Astyanax mexicanus: one gene and its partner. The protein of the gene in region 2 purifies or fractionates together with the protein of the main gene of each other region. This does not show direct contact. Links are inferred from orthologs where the notes say so. Each region holds a gene or a part of one and is shown on either strand. Other genes may lie near its edges.

The links. The genes of interacting proteins can lie anywhere in the genome.
Region 1: the proteins of ss18 (region 2) and smarcd1 purify together in Homo sapiens (affinity purification with mass spectrometry; 5 studies listed by BioGRID and IntAct, counting the BioPlex papers as one, with this or other methods). This does not show direct contact. The link is inferred for Astyanax mexicanus from reciprocal best matches to the Homo sapiens genes SS18 and SMARCD1.

Annotation. Positions count from the first base shown.
Region 1 is NC_064431.1:560,124-567,420, reverse strand, and holds the start of smarcd1 (SWI/SNF-related matrix-associated actin-dependent regulator of chromatin subfamily D member 1), read right to left. Parts: upstream 3,007-7,297; 5' UTR 2,992-3,006; coding exon 2,758-2,991; intron 1-2,757. Other genes in the region: si:ch211-220m17.5 (guanylin family protein), read right to left, coding at 6,720-6,778. UniProt on the Homo sapiens protein: Involved in transcriptional activation and repression of select genes by chromatin remodeling (alteration of DNA-nucleosome topology).
Region 2 is NC_064415.1:10,642,704-10,650,396, reverse strand, and holds the start of ss18 (protein SSXT), read right to left. Parts: upstream 3,017-7,693; 5' UTR 2,907-3,016; coding exon 2,838-2,906; intron 591-2,837; coding exon 514-590; intron 1-513. UniProt on the Homo sapiens protein: Appears to function synergistically with RBM14 as a transcriptional coactivator. Isoform 1 and isoform 2 function in nuclear receptor coactivation. Isoform 1 and isoform 2 function in general transcriptional coactivation.

The DNA of each region.
Region 1 (7,297 bases), on a different chromosome or scaffold from region 2:
ACACACATATACACACACACCCCAACACACACAGATCCCTCAATAACAGCCCAACACACACGCTTAAACTCCAGCCGTCACATCTCACACAGACATGCGTCCCGGCCGGTGCATCACGCTCTGAGCAGCTCCTGGGATGCTCTGCTCGTTTTGTGCAGAACAACAGCGGCGGCTGAAAGCATCCACAGCTCTTTGTGAGGCTGCTGAAAACTCGTCACTCTTTGTACAGAAAGCCGCATTACTTATCAGAAAGCCACAAACTCGCCGTCTTTCACAGCATCCCATCCCCACAACCTTGGAGCTCCAGAAGAACAATCGCTGCTCTACCTGAGCGCTGAATGTGGAGATGCGCTGAATTCCTGTGACGCACGCGGCGCACTGTGTGTGGAAGCTGTCAAGGCCGTGCAGACGAGAGGAGAAACGTTTCTTTAGAAGGAATCACGTCCCTGAGATGAGGAGGGAAAAAAGGCCTGGCAGAGGAAATAATGACTAGTATGCTTTCACACCACCATCCAAACCATTTAACAGCAAATACAGTTTATTAATTCTTATTTTATTTTTATTTAAATGGTTTACTCTCAGCCACACATGGGAAAAATATGTACGAGGTATCAGGGTAAAAGTACACTCTACTGATGCATCTTAATAGATAAAAATATTGCTTATAACCCAACACTGAATTTGCTTCTGCAATGGGGTAAAATTAATGATCCTCAAAAGTCCAGCCATGGATCCAAATTCAAACCAGCCCAAGAACAGATAATCCCCGGCCCTCTGCATCACTTTAATCACTTTATTTATTTATCAGTGGCCAATTATTACATTCAAGAATTTCCTATTAAAGTTAGCTAAACAAAGAGCTGTGAGTTTCTCTATATGGACTTTAATTCAATTTACAGAACAGCATTAAGGGATTGCAGCAACAACAACAAAAAAAAATGTGCATTAAAGCTCTTTTGATATATGGTTAGTTATTGAGCTAAAACTTAATTATGTTTTAATAATAAGTACTGACTGTTCTGTATGTTTTTAGATGTTTTTTGCACGGGAGACCAGGCTTTTTATATCTATGCAGATCCATTCAGATTGTGTACGCAATTGTATACATTACACATTAAGTTGCATGACATTTATCACAATGAGCTGACGTCTAGACAAAATTAAAAATATAAAATCTAGGTTCTCTACTTTACTGGAGTAATTATTTTGACACTTTCACGCAGTTATCTGAACTTTCTCCTCCTTACATTTTAAATATATCCTCGTTACTCCTGTTTCATTTCAGCTGGTTTTCATTCCGGCTTCTCATCCTTCAATAAAACCCCTATCCAGATAAATCTCTCCATCCAGATAGAGTGAATCTGATTGTGATTGGATGTAGAGAAGTATAAACATATACCATTCCGACTCCCTATTGGTTTATACTGTGATCCATCACACCTGCACACGTCCCTGTCCAATTTTGCTATATAGGTTTATGTTTGAGTAAAATTAACATTGTTGTTTTATTCTATAAAAACTAAGAAATGGCTGATATTACAAAAAAGATGCAGAGCTTTCAGACCTCAAATAATGCAAAGAAAACAAGTTCATATTCATAAAGTTTTAAGAGTTCAGAAATCAATATTTGGAAAAACCATGGTTCATCTTGGAATCAAGTTTGCCTCCACCAGTCTTACACACTGCTTTTGGATAACTTTATGCTGCTTTACTCCTGGTGCAAAAATTTAAGCAGTTCAGTTTGGTGGTTCGATGGTTTGTGATCATCCATCTTCCTCTTGATTATATTCCAGAGGTTCTCTCATTTTTAGGTGCTCTCTTAAGCTTAACATATAAGGACTACCCTCTAATATCGTCTATTTACACTGTAAATTGTATAAAAGTGTCTAAATTAGAAGTAAAATAGCTTCTAACCTACCCAACACCACATCAGGCCATTCATAAACAAAGCTGGGATCCAGGTCCAGAAAGTAAAAATCCATCACAGGGTTTTGTGCCAAGTTGCAGCAGATCCGCCTAGGCAGATGGTAAGTTACAAAACCCTGGGATGGATTTTTACTTTCTATAGCTACATCATAAAAATGCGTAAAACTAATGGTATTATTGATTCCTTACTTTTATTACATTTCCCTTCAAATAAAAAGCGAACTAACTAACTAATATTCGGTCCATAAAACAGACAAAAACAGTAACTTAGACCTAGACCATCTAATAAACTCCGGCAACTTGGCTAGGCTAAACTAAGCTAACAAGCTAGCTAGAGTTAGCTTAGCCAAGTTTTTAATTCATTTATTAGTTCGTCTTTTTCTCGTTTTAGCCTGTAATTCACTTATTAATCACACTAAAGTTTGCTTTGTTCGTTTTAATCTCTTCTCACACTACTGACCACTATTTTACAATTTAACATAATTTTGATCATTTCAACCTAGCTTAGCTAAATTGGCTAACTTAGCTTCGTTATGTTGCCTTTCTCCAGTCCACCTTAAAAAGAGCAATAGTTTAAAGCAGGCGACTCTGCAAGCGCCAGGTCACAACTATAACGTTTTTTAAGGTGGAACGGAAAATTCTAAACAGGCGCTGCTGAATTAAGAATCCATAAGAGCCTTTACAAAGCAGATCTCTGTTTTAGCAAATACTCAAAATACTGCACTTAAACAAAACCCGTTAACTGGATTTAAGGATATCAGAGCGAGGCCAGCGCACCGGATAAGCAGTGTAACCCGCTGGCCACCCCCCGCTCTTTGTTCTCTCTCTTACCGGGTAACCGGGCCCCGCCATCGGGGAGCGGTACAGGTGATTCTGCGCGCCTGCGGGTCCCATCCTCCCTGTCGGCGTGCCTGGGCCCATGCCCGGCCCAGCGCCCGGTACTGGTGGTCCAGGTCCCATTCCTCCACCCCCTCCTCCAGCTCCACCGCCGCCGCCTCCACCTGCTCCTCCGCCGGCTCCTCCAGCTCCAGGCGCCCCGGACTGAAAACCTCCACGCGCCGCCATCTTCTCCTCTCCACCGACCGGAGCTCCGCCTATACCACGCCGTGTCACGCGTCACGTGATCAAATCTATGCAATGCAGCCTACCTAGGGCCCTACGGAGGGAGCGCACTTCTAGTGTTCAATCCTGCAGTGTTCCAATAACATACTGAACACTAGAGGTGAGCGATACCGGATCAGTATTGCCGATATCGATACCGATACTGACACTTTTTAATATTTAATCTTCATAGATCCAAAGGATCCAAAATACCTAGGATAAAATGTTGCCAAATATTATACGTGCAACAAAATACTTTATTATTGTAATCAACATTTTTGTTTAGAAACAATGGAACAGTAATAAAATGAAGTTTGCCTTAACATTAGGAATATATATATATATTTTTTTGAGGTAGAAAAGTTTACAAAAATACAATAAAAATTCTTTCCTCACTAGACATTTTTCTAGTTCTTTCTTTCTTTTTTTCTTTTTTTCAAATAGAATTATTCTTAGGAAAAACAATACCAAAATAACAATAATAATAATTGTCTATCTTCCAGTGCAATTCTTACATAAACAGAATGTAAAATAATATTAAAAAATAAAAATATATATAATCCGGTGGTGTCTCTGTCTGTGCTGTGACATGGCGACTCGAGGACAGTGATGATAGTTGTGCTGAATTCTCCGCGTCGTGGCGCTCACGGCCGTGTGGTTTGTGTTGTGCACTTAGGGAGAGTTATCAGTAGAAAGTTTAGATCTCAGGGTTTTTATTCTGATAATAAAATTGTCTGATTTTATCTGATTACTTCTGCTTTTTGGCCAAACAAGAAGCCCTATAAACCTGCTGCTCACACATCAGCCACATAAACACTTTCTGCCACCATTTATACACTTATACATTATAGGCTTTCACTAACAGATTCTGCATTCAGGCTGAAACACCCATTCATTGGGCATATAATGGGCTTTTTATTTAATTGCAATTATTATTATAATTAAATGATTAAATACATCATAAGCATTGTATAGATTTACTGTAAGTAACAGGCGTTTAAGATGTTTATAAAGTTGTTTGTAAAACACTAAGTTTATTCGTTTTTGGGAAACACACCCCTGAACAGTACACTCTAAGAAATATAAGTACAGATTTGTACTTAAAAGAGTACAAAGCTTGTCGCTGGGGCTGTACCTTATATTCAGGTACAAAAAAGTACCTTTCAGTGAAAGTCCTTTTTTGTACCCATGGTTTTTGTGGCAGTAAAGATAATAAAGATTATAAACATTATCATCAACTAAATATGGCTCAAAAACTTGATGATACAAAATTGTCTGGCTTTCAAATAAAAAATGTGCAATTTAAATATATATTGTTCATTAGTACAGTGATGCAGAATACTGAATGTACCCTTTGGCTGGTTAAATGGTACAAATCTGTACTTATTGCTGTTAGAAATTACTTTGTACTTCAGAGGGAACAAATCTGACCCCGTAAAGACCAATATTGTACCTTTGAGGGTACAATTATAAAGAGTGTACCTTCGAGTACAAAAAAGTACTCATATCGTACCTCTGTTTTTTAGAGTGTACTTTCCCATCGGGATAGAAATATTTCCTCATAAGATCCAGTTGTTTGGTTATAGAGCTGTTTAAATAAGGAGGCTATTAACTGGTTTCTTTATTTTTATGTATCTAAATCTAAAAAAAAATCAAATATCCAACGATGAGTTACTGCTGAGGGGGAGGGGCTTACTTTTGCAAAGCTTTTAAACAATATTGTATTATGTTATCCAAGATTTACACCCTAAATTTCCACCTTTAAATCACCCTGAGAAGCGACAAGCGTGTTTAAACAGTTAGTGATGGAATAGTGTGTAAATTCACACGCAATAAAATCTTATCTTTCAGATCCCAGTCTCAGATTAGCTGCTCGTTTTTGTTGCTTCTCTTTATAAAGGTCTATGAGTTTATTGGATGAATCATGTTTATGTGTTTATCAGTGAGAACGCTGGTGTATTACTTTAGGTTTAAAAATCTATAATCTATAATGTTCTCTAACAAATAACAGCACAGAATTGTACATATACAACTAAAGTGTGCTCCAAGACGTGTAACATTTGCATGAAAATATTTTTTTGGAGAAGTCATCCCTCTCTTAATCCTCTGTGGCTTTAAGGAGGAAAAATATTGTTTTTGGAAGTTTGAAGTCCTTGTGTATATAGCAGATATAGCAGATAGATTTTACTTTTAATAATAAGCTGAAAATTTGAATTATTATGAGAATTACTGCTTTTTTCATAATTCATCTAAGAAACTTTGTATAACTGTATAACTCTTAATCTAATAACACACATATTTAACTATTTAAAACAAATATGTACTGGTCAATCTTAGGCAGCTTTAGGTTTCTAATCTGAAGATGGTTATAAAAAGCATTTAAAAAGCCCAAGTTTTAAGCATAGAATTAGCATAAACATGAAAAATAGCTAAATGGCTAATAGCATGAGGACACTGAGCACATTCTGGTGATTTTCCCTTAATTTGTGTTTTAAAAATAAACAAATAAGATGTAAGAATGAATTTGGGTAACAGGACTGAGTGTTGAGATTGAGCTCCTCAGTCATCGTTACAATAAGATCAAATATACAGAAAAAAAAACTAATGAGGAAACTTTAGGAATTTTGTTCTTCCCATGATCTTCAGAACCAGAACCAGCTGATGATGTCACTTCCTGTTGTAGATGTGACTTCCTGATGTTTCAGATGATCAGGGTAATGTGTTACAGTAATGTAACAGGACTGAGCGAAACCACAACACGGGGACACAACTAAAATGTGTATTTTATAATTTAAATAGAAAGGATTTATTATGGAAAAAAATATATTTAAAGCATAGATGGGATTTGGAGTCACACAACAATGCATAATTTTAATAAATATAGTTTATGGTATAGTTTTATTTATTATAGTATATTTTATTTATAACAGGTATTTACCTGTATACAGGCTGTAGGTGTGAATGATACAAACCCTTTTTATCTGCAGTAAAATAAGTTACAACTGTAATGAAATAAAAGCTTTGTGGACAGAAAATGGCCATTTTATGAGTTTATTAATTTTATTTTAACAGTTGCAGATTTACTTCAGTTTACTTCAGCTCGAATAGAAATCCTCAATATATAGACCTGTAATATCAGGTATAAAATAAACAAAAATGCATGCCTTTATGGAGTTAAAACTGAAAGACATATACACACCTGCATACAGGCTGGAAAACGTATAAAGTGTAAAAATGTGAACGTGTTTTAAAAATTGTAAAAGTATGTAATTAAAAAGGTTTAAAGTGTTTAACAGGTAAAACTCAAAGCTGAAAAAACAGAAACAGAAAGTTGGTATTTTTTATAATCTCTTTTATTGCACGTATAAGAATATGAAAACACAAGAAATATATAAGCAGTAGAAAAATAAGACAACCCTACTTTCATTAAATAAGTGAAATGTTAAGCTGTAACACACAAACAATTACAGTAAATCTACATTTCTAAATCTAAATTCCAGATTAATCATGATTTCAAACAAAAAAGTAACAGTTCAAAAAGTTCTGCTGCCACGTGGACTATAAAGCCATTTTTGTAAGTGCGAGGAAAGTGTGTGTGTGTGTGTGTGTGTGTAGGGGTTTGTGTTTATTGAACAGTGAACTGATGGAATGGAAAATCTTCCTCCTTTGTCTGATGGATGATTGATGGAGGTCTAGCAGCCGGTGCACGCAGCAAACGCACAGATTTCACACACGTCCATCGGAACAGCAGCTAAACACATGTTAAAAAACACAGTTAATGATGCTAATTGCTAATGCTAATGCTAATTTTCTTAAAAACACTGATTTTTGGGTTTTCATTGGCTGTAAGCCATAATCAATAATCAACAATAAAAAATAAACACTTAAAATAGGTTGCTCTGAGTGTAATAATATATATATATAAAGCTCTGAAAAAGGAGATCACTTAAAAATGATGAGTTTCTTTGATTTTAACTAACTATAAACCTCTGGAATATAATCAAGAGGAAGATGGATGATCACAAACCATCAAACCACCAAACTGAACTGCTTGAATTTTTGCACCAGGAGTAAAGCAGCATAAAGTTATCCAAAAGCAGTGTGTAAGACTGGTGGAGGAGAACATGATGCCAAGATGCATGAAAAAAAAACTGTGATTGAAAACCATCAGGGTTATTCCACCAAATATTGATTATTTCTGAACTCTTAAAACTTTATGAATATGAACTTGTTTTATTTGCATTATTTGAGATCTGAAAGCTCTGCTCTA
Region 2 (7,693 bases):
ACTTCACTCCTCGCGCCCGTTTTGTCCACAAGTCGCGGACGAGAGACATCTGTTATTTTAGACGTCGCCATTCTACACTCGCCGCTGCTCTCTCTCGCTGCTGCTCTGCTGGCTTGCGCGTGCGTGTGTCGCTCAAGCGAGTCAAATGAATCGATTCACACGTGAATCGATTCATTTGTTCAGAACACTAAGTTTACCTGAATCCTGCCACACCGACTGCTGCGGTGTGAATCAGTTTTCTTATGAATTGAATCAAATCGCGCCTACTATTTTGACTCATTTGAAGCTAGTGACTGGGCTATATAGTATCGAAAGCATCGAACGCTAAAGAACCGAATCGTTTGTGATGACGTAGTATCGAAAAAGAATCGAACCTTCGGTACACCGTGCAACTCTAGTACAAAATAAACATTGCAGTCCTACCTACAACAACTACTTACGTTTTTTCTAAACTAAAAAACATATCAGTGCATTAACCTTTTATGGTGTAAGATGTACAAAAAACAAACTTACTGTGAACATTCTGCAGTTTTGCCTTTGCTCTGGAAGTCCATGATGCACTGAATCAACTGATTGTTTTCATCGAGAAGCTGGAAAGAAACAAAGTTTAGAATTAATTCTACTCATTTTAAACTGACCTCAGAAAAAGCTCTGAACAAATTTTAAACAAAAAATGTTACCCACAGTCTTCATTCCTGTACATGTTTTTTTAATTCTAACCATGTGATTTAACCCTAAACCTCATGTGTTCAAGAGAGAAAAGACAGCTTATATGTGCGAGAAGCAAACCTCCTGTCCTGGGCAGGCAAACCCAACCAGTGGGAGTGGACTCAATTATGCTCAAAACACTATGGGTCAGATTCTCAAACAGGGATTATGCAAAGGCATGGGTAGAAGGGGTTGAACAGCCCATCTAATCAGTAATTAAGGTGCAACCATTACTGATATACATGTTTAACTGTGTATACAATTTGTATAATCTTCAAATAAATGCATTGCCAGTAGAATATGATGCTCTGAAAAACTCTTTGGATGAAATGGAAAGCTCTGGAGATGTTCAGGTGTAGAAAGCCATCCAGAATTGGGTTGTGGGGCGGTAAAGCTTGTCCACAAAACAATAAAAGCAAGTTTGTGTTTCATTCACCATTCTGTTTTTAAACCTTTTTACAGAGTATTTAATAAGACAATAAAGTCTACCCCAGAACTGTCTAAACCCTGGGTATATGTGAAACCAATGAAAACATTCTTCAGAGATTTTTTTTTTATAATTCACAATGTTTTAATGTTTAATGTTCATATGTGTGCCTTGCTCTTTTTTAGTGGCTATAACATTAAAACTGTTCTAGGCATATACACTTCTATCTTATACTTTATTTCAATAGATCCATTATTGTATATAACCTGTGCATTTAAAATGGTTTAAGGCAGTGATCTGTCTATGTAAGGATGAGTTAGCTAAGTAAATGTGAAACCCCAAAAATGTAAAAAACAAATTTCTCAGAAGAAGCCTTTCATTTTTTTGTTTGTACACAGTTGATTGAGAGTTAAAATGTAACATTTGCTTGCGTGTGTAGTCCTTCTGCAAGTTACAAATATATATCTGGACAATACATTGATATTTTTTTCATAGTGATAATTTTTTAAACACATTAACAATAAACATATCAAGGATACCATCAATACTTAAACACTAACCCTACTGCACATTATATTACAGAGAGTGAAAATTCCTCTTTAAATAAGAATCACTGCACTATGCATAACAGACCATTTGAAAAGCAGAATCTGCTACTTCTGATGCATTTTGTCTGCCTGTCAAAACAAGGCAAATACTCATTTACAGAATGTAAGTGTACTGGGTTAGTGCTTGTGCTTTTGCTTTTACAGGTCTGTTTTAACCATGTGAACGATTTACATGCTTTAATATTTTTTTTACGTTTTATATAATAGGTTTACATGACTTCTAGGGCAAAACTTTAAATTGTTGTTGTACCATATATGTTACAATTAGGATTTTAAACTGTTTTTATTACAGAATTATGTCTGGATAAACAGTTGGTCTGGGATATTATTTATTAGCGTTATGTACATATAACGTTAAATGTTTATTTTCTTTTATATATATATATATATTATATGTTGATGTATATTTCCTGACACTGCTGCTCTCTCCTCTGCGCTGCTGTAAAATTGCAAATTTACCCTCTGTGGGTTTAATATAATGTTAAATTACACACAGAGAAAGAAAGGACAACAAATCAGATTAACGTTAATATTAGCTGTAGATTAGCTAGTTAGCTAACCTAACCCAGCTAGGTTAACCTACATGAGCTGTTTCTGCTACAGCGTGAATTCACAGCACATTTATTGAAACCTTACTGGAATTTTCCACTTAATTTATCACGCTGAGTGACTGTAAAAAGTCTATTAACGCTAAAACACGACCAGACTTTCTCTTAAAATAAGGCGTTTATATGTTTTTTGGGCTAACTAGCTAACAAAGGCGCTAGCTAGCTAGCCTGCTAACAGTACAGCTAACCTAGCTTGCTAGCTAGCTTACATAGCTAGCTAAGCAATAGCTATAGGTTAGCTAACTAGCTAGCGCATTTAAATATACTAAAATGAGAATATGTGGTCGTTTATTGGATTGTTTAACAGAAGGAAATTTGAAAACAAAATTTTAATAAAGATTACATTGATTCAAAAAACAATATTTAGACATACGCTAGCTATAGCTAAGCTAATTAGCTTAGCAACCTTCCTGGCTAACAACCCTCCATAGAAACCAATTGCCACCGTTTCGTTTGTTACCCCTTTTCTGTATTAAAAACAATTACCTTCTGTATTCCTGCGGGTGTAATATCGCCTTTAGCGCGCTGTCTGTGAGGCGCAAACGCCACCGACATGGTTATAGCTCTTAAAAAAGAGAAAATCCGACGATAAAACTAAAAATCTCTCAGCTCGCCTTCAAAAATCTCCCACATACACAGCTATCTACAGCAGCGCAGCCTGGTGGACTCTTCTATTCTCCCCTTTTTAGGGGGGTCACTCCACTACGGCTTGGTGTTATCGCTTAAATACGGACATTAACATAGTTAAATGTTTGAAATCCACGCATAATTTACCTTTAAAATGACGTTAAATTTTAAAATGTGTGTATTTAATAACAATTAAGTTAGAACTACTCAAATATTTATACAAGGTCACGCAGTCCCCACCTCTTCCACAATGGTTTGGTCCAAAACTCAGTCCTAATAGACACACAAGCAGCAGCCACAGGCAGCTCCAGCTATTTATAAGGATTTACATTACCATTAAAACATAAAACTCACACTAAAAACACTGCTAATATTAGTTTTATATTAATTAAATTATGTGTAACGTTATAGTAAGTTTTATTTTAGTATTTAAAGGACGCTGTAAGGGCTGTAGTTCTGGTTATTGTGGTCACGCCACCTCTGGATTAGATGTGCTCAGGGGCTGAACTGTGTGTTTTTTGAAGATGGCGGGAGTTTAATCATGTGGTTCATATTTTTGAATTGTGTTTCCAAAGCTATACTTACAGGACCAGTCAAAAGTCTGGACACACCTCTTCTCCACCTCTTCTTTAATGTGTTTTCTTTTTCTGCTTTTTTTTACAATGTATATTTAACCCCTTAACAGGTCAGCATTTTTGTCAATTTTCAATTTTGAAGATTTCTATTGAAGCATTACATAAAAAGCTTTCATGTTTAATAATAAATGTTACTACAAATTTTGATTGTAATTGTAAAATGAAGTTAGCACTTCCCTTAACGTCAATATAAATAGTAATAATAATAATAATAATAATAATAATAATAATAATAATAATAATAATAAAAGTTAACATTCCTTAAAAATCAATATTTTCCTAAATACAAATCAAACAGTTCATGTCCTCCAAACCTTTAGTTTCCAGCACAAGTGTTTTTTGTAGGAAATGTCAAAGCCCTCACATTTTCAGAATGCAAATAAGTTATTTTACTGCAGAAAAAGAACGGGGTGAATATTAAAAAAAAACTATATTAAAGCTATTCGGGAACACATGCAGAATTGTTTTGAGAAAATAACAATGTTAAAAAAATGTGTTAAAGAAACCGGATTATGTTTTCTATTTTAAATTCTTCTAAGAAGCACATTTATCTTTGAGGAGACATACTAAAAGTAGACATACTAATAGATGAAATACAATTCAAATAATTACACTGTAGTTTAGTATGAAAAAAAATGGAAAATCGAAATAAAGGAAGAGCGGGGTTAGAGAAATTGCCATTTCTTAACCCTTTCAGACCTGAATTATTTCCAGTAATACAAACAAGTAAAACTATATCTTTTTTCTTATTCTATATATCTTTTATATAATTGTTTGTTTTACAAATCATTTCTAAGTGGTAAAATAAACCATAAAATAAACCTCATTAAGTGGGATGCAGCTGTGCTTTACTTCAGTGTGTAGATATTTTTATTGTTTTCCAGTGCAGTGGGCGGGGCTGAACTCATGTTTGACTGGCTGATAAATGTATATTCTGAAGGACAGCAGGTCTCAATCTGAGCTATGTGAAAGGATATGAAGTAAAGAAGAAAACACAAGATGCCCATTGGAATGTACTCAGGGTCTCAAAGGGTTAAAGAGTAACACACTATTAAAACAATTTTTATTTAAATCTATCTCACTCTGCCTCCCTCTGCCTCACTCTATATCTCTCTGCCTCATGCTGCCGCCCTCTATATCACTCTACCTCACTCTATATTGCTCTACCTACATCTGACTCATTTTACCTCACTCTACTTTACTCCACCTTGCTCTGGTTTAATATTTTCATGCCTCCTCCCCATATTTCACTGTACCTCACTCTATTTAACTCTTTTTTGCTCTACCTCACTCTGCCTCAGTCCACCTCAATCACCCTCACTCTGCCTTTATGTCACTCCACCTTGCTCTGCTTTACTCTACCTCACTCTGCCACCAGTCTAATAAGTCAAGTCACGTGAGACAGTCTGCAGCACAAAGTGCTCCTTCTGTTACTGGACGTGAGAAATGCAATTTACTTTTGCTTTTACTCACAATATTACTGAAGCTTTTTTTATTGTCTAATGTACTCATATAGTAACAATGATAACATGATTCATTTTACAGGTTTAGATCTATACATTGAAAGGAGTCTATGGAGTCTAAGGAGTCTTCACCTCAAAGAACACTTTTAGACCTAACTTTTTAAAAGTGTAGAGCTGCATTTCTGTTTATTTGCTGGTAGGATGAAGGGAGAGAGGATGCACGACTACAGACAGAATGCTCAGTCCAGTTTTGCTGACAGGTGGTTTAATAGGCTGCCTGTTTTTCTGCGTGCTGCTGAATTTCACTGGTCAGTCTGGGCTTTGAAGTATTTGTGTAAGAGCTCTTTGTAAATGAAGCCTTGAGTTAGTTGAAGTCGTATTTGGGTGAGAATTGTTTAAGGTGGTTGGACAGAGCCCTGCTGAGAGGAATGATGTAGCGGGTTGTAACAGTGTAACCCCTGCGATCGATCAGTCAAAACTTCAAAGAATCTGAAGATGTTAATAGCTTCATCAGTATTCTTTTGACCAGCGGCTAGTTGCATTCCATATCATCCTCAAGAACAAAGTGCAACAATTTGGAAAGATGGAAAACAGTGAAACAGTTGGATTTCACCATCCAAGGCGTCATGTGGAGCGGCTGACGTGAAATGCTTTAAAATTTTCCTTAAAAAGTTCTTGAAAACAGTTCAGTAAAATATTTATATCATGCATAATTATATTGCGAATATTTATACCATACACAATTTGTGCAAATGATTGTGAACACCCCTTCTAATACTTGCAGTGAATACTGCCAAAAGAATAGAAATCTCTGGAGCAGACAAACAACATTTTAGGCTTGTTTTTTACATCTTGGCATTTTTAGGATTTTCAGGATAGATTTGTCAGTAATGTTTGAGATTATTTCCAAAATACGATGCTCATGTGGGGCCTGTATGGAAAGCCCAACTGGATCCCAAAAAATGTAGTCCATGGGGCCCATGTTGGGCACACATCAGGATGTCAATGATGGGTCCAAGAGAGTTTAAATATGGGCTATATCTGGGTTATACACTGCATTTGGGGCCTAGATGAGACCCATGTAAAATTAAGGTGGGCTCTAACAGTGGGACCCAATTGGAATGCTCAACTGGGACCCAGTAACAACAGATCCTATACCTACCTGGAACCCACCCAGCCCACGCTTCACCCATGTGAGGCCAAATGATCCACTCTTTAAGTATAGAGTTTAGATAGTAGGATTTAAAATACTTCTGTAGTTAAAGTTAAAGTATCAACTCAAGCTCCTTACTCTGTAAGTAAAAATGTAAAAGTACTGCTTTCAAAACTACTTAAAGTATAAACGTTAAAGTAATGTAAGGTGTAAAAATGCCATTGAAAATTAATGTATATTAGTAGAATGTAAATATATTAAAGAAATTTAGTTAGACTGGAGTTTGTCTGGAGTTCTCTAGTTCCAGACATCCCAAGTTGCAAAAGTTGATTTCAGGGAGGTTACCCCCCCCCCCCCCCCATCCCCCCCCCCAAAAAAAAACAAACAAACAAACAAGCAAAAAAAACTTGCGCACACACACCAAAGGATAACGAAACTTTACTTTTATATTAATTAATTTTACGTTTTTTAAATTAAATTTAGAGTATTCAGAGGTGAAATGAAATGAGTTTTATCTTTTTTTCTTTTTGGAAGGCCCTGCCTCTGCTTTCCTTTTTTTCTTTTTTTTGAAAAAAAGCCTTTATTTGACAAAAAATGACAGTTACAATATCACAAAAAAATTGCACAACATCAAAAATATTTCATATCATATTACAATAATTATTAATATTGCCTCCGCCATGATCTGCTTTCTCACACTCACTGAACAAATCCCGTCCGGGAGGGGGGAAAACACTGCCTGCCCACACTAAAAACTGATTGGCTGTCTCACAGACTCTTTGCAGAGAACAGGCCAATGAGAATCCTCTCTGTTTTCTCTCTCTCCTTCCCACACGCGATTGGAGAAAAAAGTCTGTCGCCTGTGTGTGCGTTTGTGTGCAGTGCGCTCTTGGGGCACTCGTTCTGAATTCCGGGAGATTATATGTGACTTGCGGGCATCAGGGGGCCACTACTGAAATGCGGGAGACTCCCGCAGCTTCAGGGAGACTCTGCGTCTCTGCACGGATCATCTTCATACTAGGCTACATACGTCTGCTATGTTCTTGCTGGATTGTGTGTGTGTGTGTGTGGGGGGGAGGGGGGGGGGACGTGACGTATGCAGCTGTGATGGTATAAACCAATAGGGAGTCGGAATGGTATATGTTTATACTTCTCTACATCCAATCACAATCAGATTCTCTATACTCTATCTGGATGGAGAGATTTATCTGGATTGCGGTTTTATTGAACAATGAGAAGCCGGAATGAAAACAAGCTGAAATTAAAAAGAAGTAACAAGGCTATTTTTAAATAAGTGTGTGAAAAAGTATGAAGTAGAAGCAAAAAGTCGACTGTAAAATAATAATTACTCCATTAAAGTATAGATAGCCAACATTTCTACTTACTTAAGTACAAAGTATTTGTACATAGTTACTTGATAACTCTGTCTGAGGCCCATATGAGTAATCACTGAGCAGTTTGAGG